2 linked regions of the Oryzias latipes genome follow. The protein of the gene in region 1 purifies or fractionates together with the protein of each later gene. This does not show direct contact. Links are inferred from orthologs where the notes say so. Each region holds a gene or a part of one and is shown in the gene's direction. Other genes may lie near its edges.

Region 1 (4,562 bases):
GGATACCACAAGGGTTACATAAAGTTTCTGTTTGGCAAACTGTTTGTTTTCATATGTAATAATGAATAACTTGAATAGTACTCAGCTTAAAGAGAAAATAAAGATTTGTAAAAAAAAAGAATAACATGTTTCATGCCACAACTCCTTTCAATGATATGCATTCAAATGTGCAAAACATATGTTATATTTTTATTTTACTAGAATTATAGAATAACACTTATTGTAAGCGTTTCTGGAAAAGTATGCATATTTCTTTGTCTGCCTTATACACTCATTTGCCACAACTTAATGGGCCATTCTACCCTGAAGCAAAGTATGTTCTTTGTTAGATGAATGGGGGATTCAACTTTTACAGAATAGGTTCTCAGTTCATAAAATGATAAAGTCATGTGTTTCGCATGGGAGATCATTTTAATATGATCCAACGTTTTCCCCCTAAAAAGTAAAGGGTAGATTTTCAACTGAAATTCAAATTTACTGTGTTTTTCTTTCAAAAGGGAACAGTTTTTTGTAGTGAATCAGTTTGCTTTCATACTAACAGTATACAAATTAACATATCTAATATATTTTTGTCTTGGATTTAATTTGTACAAAAAATGAAATCAAACCCATTCAAAAACAGTTGAATAGATTGACTTTTGACAGTTTACACACATGATAAGAATAGAGCAAAATAAAAAGAAGCATGGAAAAAGACTAGAGATGGAAAAAAATAATATGGTTTAAAGGCAAGAGCAAAAACAAGCAGCTTTTGTAATTTAAAATGCTCGTGGCTCTGGGACAATGTCCTTCTCTTTTACTCAACCCTCGTCTTTTTGGTAGAACTAGAGGAAACAAAGCAAGTCAATTCTCCTTCTTCATTTGTGTGACTGGCAAAGGAGAATTCATCAGGAGTGAGTATCTTTTCATATCCTGTCCTCTGACTCTTTCCATAAAGTGATCAGTTCTTTTTTTTAGGCATAGGCTATCACAGACTAAATCAAAATTTGAGTGTCCCAATGGTAAAAAGAAAATATGTGCTTAAATACAGAATGCTTTGATAGTATATTATATTATTATTATTATCCTGCTGTTTTTTTCAAGTAAAGTTAGAACAATGTTTTTTTTTTAACGTTTTTTTGTTGTATTTTCTTTTAAATCAGAGAGGGATCTTGTTGATGTGAAACATCGTCTGTTTCCATTTTCGGCAGCCTCTAATCCAGATTATTGTTTGGATCCGTCATTCTGACTGTTTTTCTTCTTTACTCTGGTCCTCAATATTATCCTCATCACTTATTACTTCTTGAAAAACTGATCATCGCTATAAATTGTGTGTTTTTTTATTTTTCTATCCATTTCGTTTGAACATCTGATCCATGATATTCTCACGATGACTCTGCTATGGGAATTAAAATGACCGACACATGGGATGTCCAATCACAGCTGGGTATTTGGTGTGACTACACCCAGTTTAACCAATGACATTCCAGTTCTAAATTACCTTGTGACCAATCGGATCCCTCCTTTTTCGTGAAAGGGGAGGGTCTACATCTTGTTGGCTTTGCCCAGTCCGGATGTTCCCCAGTAGCGGACTAACGAGCAGCACTGTGTGAATGTGGCAATCGAGGTAGGCAGGGAGGGGTAGATTTTATGACCACACCGGTCAATTGCCCCCCCTTGCCCTCTCTCCAATATATATATACATATTTTTTTCATGTCTTAACATAGTGTTTTCTTTTTTAAATCACGCCACGGCGGTGTTTGGACAGCAGGAAAGCCGGCGACGGCTTTATTTTTGGGACTAACGGCTGTCGTAAAAACAGTCAAGAAGAAAGAAGGAAAGGAGGAAACAACATGGGGCGATAATACGAAAATGTGTTGACCGACGATGACTCCGTGGGAAGACCCGTGAAGCTTATTTATTTTTATTTATTCCCCCTTTCCCCCCTCATTTGTTCTCTTTACATACAAAAAAAACATATCTACCCCCCTTGCTAGTTTGGGGATTTTTGAAAACGCTACAAGAGGATTGAAGGATGGAGCAAGCCGGCATCCTGAGAAAGTTTATCCAAGGGGTGAAGGCCATGAGTGAAGGGGACAAGGAGAGGGGAGAGGACAACTTTGGTAGTGACTTTATGGTGAGTAAATCTGCTGGACTCTAACCTATCCTTCTCTCTCCCTCTCTTTGTTTTTTTTTAATCTAATTGGAAGTCGTCCCCATGTTTATACTTAGTCTCCACCTTTTCCCCCTTTTCGCCGACTCTCCCTCCATACCATCACCCTTCCCGTTTCTTGGTTCCTGCATCCCCCCAGGAGGAGGTGAGGTAGGGGCGGCCACACTGCCTGCCCTCTTCCTTTTCCTCTCATTTCCAGGCTTTATATGGCGGCCTAGCATTGTGTCCCGACGCACAGACACACCGCCGACTTCTGTTCTTTAAGAATTGGAATAGGGGGAATTAGCTCAACGCGTCGGTTCAAAGCCCCCTTGCTTGTGTTTTGGTGGCGCTAAGGCGGCTTATTGTGGGCTGGAGCAGATAGTCGCTTCCTCCGCTGTTAATCATGCCTGATTGTTGGCAGACAGTGCACTAGTGCTTCATTGTCCTCTCTTGTACGTTATAGATGTGGTCCACAACTATAACCATTGAATGCAGTGACAAGAAATTGCTACTAGCATATCAGCTATGCATTTTTTAGGGTCACAGTTTGCTATAAAAAATAGAAAAGTCTAAATATTACAACTTAAAAATGTCATCAGAAATACTTAAAGCAGCATTAAAGATCATTATAAAACAAAATGACTCTGTAAACTTACAAAATGTATTGACCTGCTTGGTTTTTTGCTTATATCTATTTAACATACTTGAAAATATTATAAATGAAGGTTTGTTTACCAAATTAGAAAGCTGGTTGGAGTTTAGCTTTTTGATGGCTGCAAATCGGTAGTTCAAAGAATGTTCTTGGTATATAAAAGAAAAAAAAGAAAAAAAAGAGGGATGTCGAAATTTTGGAATCTAAATGAAGCTTCTTCCACTCCCTGACTTGTGAAATGACTTTCTGTAATAACATTTAGCATGAGGTGGACCTTTTAGGGCAAAGTTTAGGCTAAAATAAGTCGAGAAACTCTTCTATGACCAATTATTTCAATATATCCGTCATTGCATTGTTCCAACTATAGATAGAAGATGCTGTTACTCTTTTACGTTTTGTTTAAATATTGAGTTTGTTGTCTCCAAGAAAGAGGTTAATCAGCATCAGCTAACTTTTGCCCCCTCTGTCTACACTTGCAGAAACGCACACACACACGCACACACCTTACTTCCATGCTTCATGCAAGCAGCTTGCTGTAGCTTGCAACATTCTTTCTTGGCCTATTACAAAACATTTTGTCCTGGCTTTAAAAGTGGAGCTTTGTCAACAAATCTCACACTTTGAATCACTGCTTTAAGGAAGACAGAACCATAATTAAATAAATAAAAAATTAAAAAATATAAAAATGCTATCTTAGTCTTGTTTTGTTGCTGTTGCGTTCATTAGTTGGTCTGTGCTTTGAGGATTCTGTAAACAAGGGGCTGATAGGTGTTGCGCAAAGCAGACTGAACTGTCTGTGCAAGACATTCAGGAAGTTATGGAAGAAAGTGTTTTAAAAAAAAAGAGCTATAATTTGATTATGTTTTTAATTTTGTTCTTCCACCTTGCAGAGACTTTTAGTGTATTTTGGTTGTAAAATATGTACAGTAATAAACTTCTACTGTGACACACATTTCATGCTTATCCTCATGCTGCCTCACAACTTCCATATTGTTACTGCCTGTTTCACTGCTTTGGAAGCTAACACATGAAGCATGTGAGGATCCATTCTTTACCAATTGGTGAAGCCTAAACGTTTTCATGTATATAGGGTGGGCTTTTCTGAACAGTGCCTCACCAGAGCGCCCTGACATAACTGTACTCTAACCGCCTATTGTTGTTTATATATAGAACGTGTTATATAGACATAATTGCAGGTTGCGTTAGGGCAAAGAGTCAAGATTATACACTTTGTTCAGCAGCCGTTTTAAGCAATTTGATGGAGCAGAATTGCTTTAGATGTTTTTTTATAATCCAGTGTTGAAATCTAAGAAGTGTCCTGTGGAGTTAAGTTATTGTCTTGTCAAGTCTGTTCCTATATGCGACCGTATAACCCATTTAATTGCTGGAGTTGTCTTTTTGCAGGGAGGTTTCTATTTCTGTGGTGTTCGGAAAGAAATAAATTACATAGAAAATACCTAAGGGTGAGGACAGAGGAAACAGGATTTTTTTTTTTTTTAATTGTTAAATTTTAGATCATTGTTATACTTTTAGTGAATTTCTTCTATTTTGTATTAGAGATAAGAAGAAAACTCCAAAAAACAAATTTAGTCTGTGAATTCACCCACAAAATTAAGGTTGAAGTTAACATAATTCAAGTTTTAATTCCATGGAAACATTTTTAAACCAACTTTAAAATGTTGTGGTTTATTTCAGAAACTTTTAATTGTGTAAAAAGCAGTTTGTGTATCGGTAAGTCTCTCCCATGACACAGCTCCCGCAAAATTGCTACATCT
Region 2 (4,379 bases), on another chromosome or scaffold:
GGATGGATCTTGAGCAGAAAGGTGGAAGATGCTCACTTTTAAAGACATATTATGGACTGGTGTACTGTAAAGCTCACACGTACATAGATAAACTCCTTAATCCTCATTGAAAAGAGAAATGGAATCAAGGTGAAAAGGGTCAAAGTTGACTTTAATTTGATGGAACTGTATAATTTGATGGAAGTGTATATCGGTAATTATATTTTTTGTTGTTCTCCTGTGTGTAAAGTTATGTTGTGTAAAAAATTATTCCAATAAGATAGTGTAAATATAAAGTCTTTCTGAAGACATCATTAAAATCAGGATTTCTGATCATATCCATTCATGCCTTGATGGAAACTTACCTGTAATTTGTTTTTAGACAAAATAAACTTTAGGTTTCAGAGAAATCATATTTTTTTTGTCTACAAAGTTTAAATTTGTTCCCTGTTAAAGATTCTGGAACAAATTCATTATTTACAAAAGTTTGAGATCGATAGATCGATAGATCTCAAACTAATGCACTATTGAATAATCTTGGGTCAAAACAGTGTAAACATTGAAGATTTGAACTGAAGATCATTACAGGTGTTTTTTTATCATTTCATCACAAAATCCCTTTTTTTCTATGTTGATTAACAAGGTAGAGGTTAGCTATAAACAATTATTTCAATAAAAGTTCAATATGCAGACATTATCAAGTTTTCTAAAGACTAGACTTTTTTAACCTTTATGTATTTTTGTATTAAGCCTTAAATGAACTCACTTCAAGCCTTGAAGGTTCTTAATTTTGGATTGATTAAAAAAAGGTCTCCTCCTGAAACTTTTATTTTTAATTTTGGTCCCATTTATGATTTTAGAAACTTTATGTGGTTTATTACCATTGAAAATACAAAGCTTTATATGTTCTTAAAAAAAGGCATTCAAATGACGAAGTTGTGATTATAGGTATTATGTACAACTGCTAGTTTTGGAGGCTTTATTTTGTCCTGTTTTAGATGATTCAAGATTTTTAAAACTGCAAATGAATGCTGTTTCAGCATTTGGTACTTTCCCCTTATCCTTAGTTATTGCTGAATTTTCTGCCAGTATCAGTGTTAATAAAACTTTTATTTTATTTCTTTTTTATTAGTTAGTTTTTATGACTGTGTTAAGTTTAACACATTTGCTTTACTTTACATCTCACTCTTTATATTTACCATTTATTTTATTCTACACTGACTTTTATCTAATACATTACACTCTCTTCTACCGGTCCAGTAAATATCTCAGTCAGCCACTAGATGGCAGCTCTGCCAGCAATGAAGAGCTGTCAGGAGGAGTTCCAGTCAGCCCTGTCAAAGTTACTGCGCATGCGCCAGTTAATAGACTGTACAGTTCAGACTTCATGGTTCGTTCACGGCACTAACTAGGAAGGAAATCGCACTCAAAGAGCTTCACGGAGCCTGCGGCGTTGCTCCTCTTGTACATTTCAGTCATGAAGAATCTTCATTTCAAAGATTTCTTCTGGGTGAGTAGTTTGTGTAGCTTTCTAGATAAATTTGGCTAATTTTTTTTTTTTTTTACAATTACAGGGTAATTAAATGCACTTCAGAAGGCTGAAATTCAATTAAGCAGTAATGATCATGTATTTCCTTATCAAGAAATTCTTTATATTTTAAAATTTTGTTTTGAAACGGACATGCTTTAAATTTCTGATGATCAGTTTCAAAGCATCTAATTTATTTAAATACACAGCTGAGACATATACGAAAGACTCAAACTCCAAACCCACTATGGTAAAAAACTGAATAGGCAGCAAAGCATAAAAACTTCATGAGGGAAGTCTTTATGGTTGAGGATGATTACAGGCTGTTAGCCTCAGATGACCCAAATTATAGAGATTAACGGTTCAAAAACACCAATTTTCACCTGGGTCAAATAATCTCATGTGCTTTCCAAACGGGTTTAACCAGTTTAAAAGAGAAGAGGCATCCCTGTAGTGTCTTACTGATAAATATTGATGGAAATAATATTGACATATTTGTTTTGATGCTGACAGAACTTAGATCTGACCTGCACCAACGGCTATGATGCCATAATTCAGTATCTAAACGAAGGCAAAAGGACATGCAAGGAGGTCGAGGACTTCATGAAAGCAAGGTAATGAATACATTAAAATACTTGCATGAAATTGTTATAAATGGTAAATGGCGTAAACTTATATTGTGCTTTTTTTTTACCTTCTTAGAAGGCCTTTAGCATTTTATATTCATAGTCCCATTCACCCATGCACATTCACACACTGGTGGTGGCTCTGCTGCATAAGAACCACCAGGAGCAATGTGGGGTTCAGTGTCTTGGGCAGGTAATGTGGTAACCGAACCTGCAATGTTACAATGAGAGGTTGACCACCCCACCTCTGCACCACAGCCACCCCTGCTAGACTCTCTAGGCTCTGTGTAAAATGAAACTAAACTTAATGTGAGACTAACACAGGAAAAGTGGGGTTTAAGTGATGATAAAAGGAAGAAGAGATGTGAAGTTGTTGTTTGAGAAGTAAATAATCAAGTTTTTAATCTCACAGCAGGGAATTGCTTTTTAACGTGAATAAAATGCATAACTAAAATATATTTAAAATTTTAAGTCACATATTAAAAATGTTTTTTGAAAAAAGGTTATGTAATATAAAAATGTATATCAGTAAAAAGAAATTTCTTCCCTAAATTTAAGCCAACAGCTTTGCAACTAATCAAACTATTAAAGATGATGCTATATTTCAATTCTTTGAGCCTTTTTCTTTTGTTTTTTTACAAAGTATGGACTGTAAAACCTTAGTTTGTCACGTTTTGAGTTTTGCATTTCTTCTTCCTCTTGTAATAATTAACTTTTCACACAAAGACCTGAGTGCATGTCGGCTTATTGTTTATGAATTGGTAGCAACATGTAAATCTGGCAATTGTGTCAGTATATAACTGTGTCATAAACTCTGAAATAAAAAGGAGGATATTATATATCACAACAAAAGTGAAACTTGGTGTTTTGCGACATGGGAGGACATTTTTGCAAACCATCGTGGTGTGCCAAACCGAAAGAAGTGAGAATTACAAAGCACGCTTGAAGTAAAGACATTAATAAAAAGAAAGTTTAAAAAATTAGAAAATTGATTAAAGTTTTGTTGGTGATCATATATGTATAAATATCATTAAAGCAACTATTTACACTGAGTAACTATTTCCTGGTTAAGTGATCTGTTTGTTACTGATGAGCTTTTTTTTTTGTATGAACTTTGTGTATACTAAATCTGAACAAGTACAAATTCAGCTTAAGTCAATATTTTTAGTAGCTCCCAAGCTTAACTCTAGATATTACAGAAAATTAGGCAAAAGCGTTTATAATTTATCATATGTAGCTGCATTTACATACGTTTTATTGTTATTTGCTGCTAGTAGTTTTTTTCCACAGGTTTATTTCTCTCACTAAAAGTACTTTTCTAAAAATAAAAGCACTTTTTTGTTAACCGTTTCCCTCTAAAATGTACCTTCTCTGCACTAAACATTATGTGGAAAAACAAATGCTGATAAAGTGCTGCTTGTCTTCAAGACGTGCATGGAAATCAACGTCCCGGTATCTTCTTTGGGTATAGCCTTTCTTAAGCGCTGCTTTTTCTTTCAGGGCTTCTATTGAAGAGAAGTATGCCAAAGACCTGCTGGGTTTGTCCAAGAAGGTGTGTGGACACAACGAGATGAAGTAAGCGACCCATGTGCAACTGTGTCATTTTTGATCTGCTCTGTTCTCTCGTGTAATGTAGAACACCAAATGTTGGATTGCTTCATCCGTAAGTAGAGTGTCTTGTTCACTCTGTGGTCACGTGACCGGTGTAGTTTTATTTCTCTTGATGGTTTTTAACTTCTTAGAGGAAGGAAGAGTAATTGAGGAAGAAGAGACACTCATTGGTATTAACTTTCTGGGTGGCTTTTCTTGTCGACACTCATACTTGATGCATACTGCAGATGTTGATCAATAAATAGAAGTTACGAGTAAATATTAAAAGAGGCATTATTTCTAGTCGGAAAATTGAAAACAAGTGCAAAAGACACAGTATAAACTCTAGTATACAGTAAGCTATTCTTATTCATTGTTTTTTAACCCTGTAACCATTCGTATCATATTTGATACATTTCTGAGACTATCTCATTAGCAAGATTCAAGCTGTCCTTATGAACTCACTGTATATAACTTATAGAAGGGCTCTTCCTGCTCACTTCAGAATTTCTGTGAAATTTCAGAAACCCTTTTGGTGGGAAAAATGTAGCTACTTTTCAAAACTTTATAAAGAGAGTAACTTTTAAATGACCACTTGCATAACTTCAAGAATGCTAAATTTGTTGATAATTATTTCTTTATAATACAGTTACACA

What was found.
Region 2: the proteins of tyrosine-protein phosphatase non-receptor type 12 (region 1) and pstpip2 purify together in Homo sapiens (affinity purification with mass spectrometry; 4 studies listed by BioGRID and IntAct, counting the BioPlex papers as one, with this or other methods). This does not show direct contact. The link is inferred for Oryzias latipes from reciprocal best matches to the Homo sapiens genes PTPN12 and PSTPIP2.

What each region holds. Positions count from the first base shown.
Region 1 is NC_019881.2:13,835,332-13,839,893, forward strand, and holds the start of tyrosine-protein phosphatase non-receptor type 12, read left to right. Parts: upstream 1-1,544; 5' UTR 1,545-2,015; coding exon 2,016-2,117; intron 2,118-2,870; exon of another isoform or gene 2,871-2,939; intron 2,940-4,562. UniProt on the Homo sapiens protein: Dephosphorylates a range of proteins, and thereby regulates cellular signaling cascades. Dephosphorylates cellular tyrosine kinases, such as ERBB2 and PTK2B/PYK2, and thereby regulates signaling via ERBB2 and PTK2B/PYK2.
Region 2 is NC_019870.2:8,939,498-8,943,876, forward strand, and holds the start of pstpip2 (proline-serine-threonine phosphatase-interacting protein 2), read left to right. Parts: upstream 1-1,351; 5' UTR 1,352-1,456; coding exon 1,457-1,489; intron 1,490-2,020; coding exon 2,021-2,121; intron 2,122-3,633; coding exon 3,634-3,708; intron 3,709-4,379. Other genes in the region: putative UDP-GlcNAc:betaGal beta-1,3-N-acetylglucosaminyltransferase LOC100288842, read left to right, coding at 1-110. UniProt on the Homo sapiens protein: Binds to F-actin. May be involved in regulation of the actin cytoskeleton.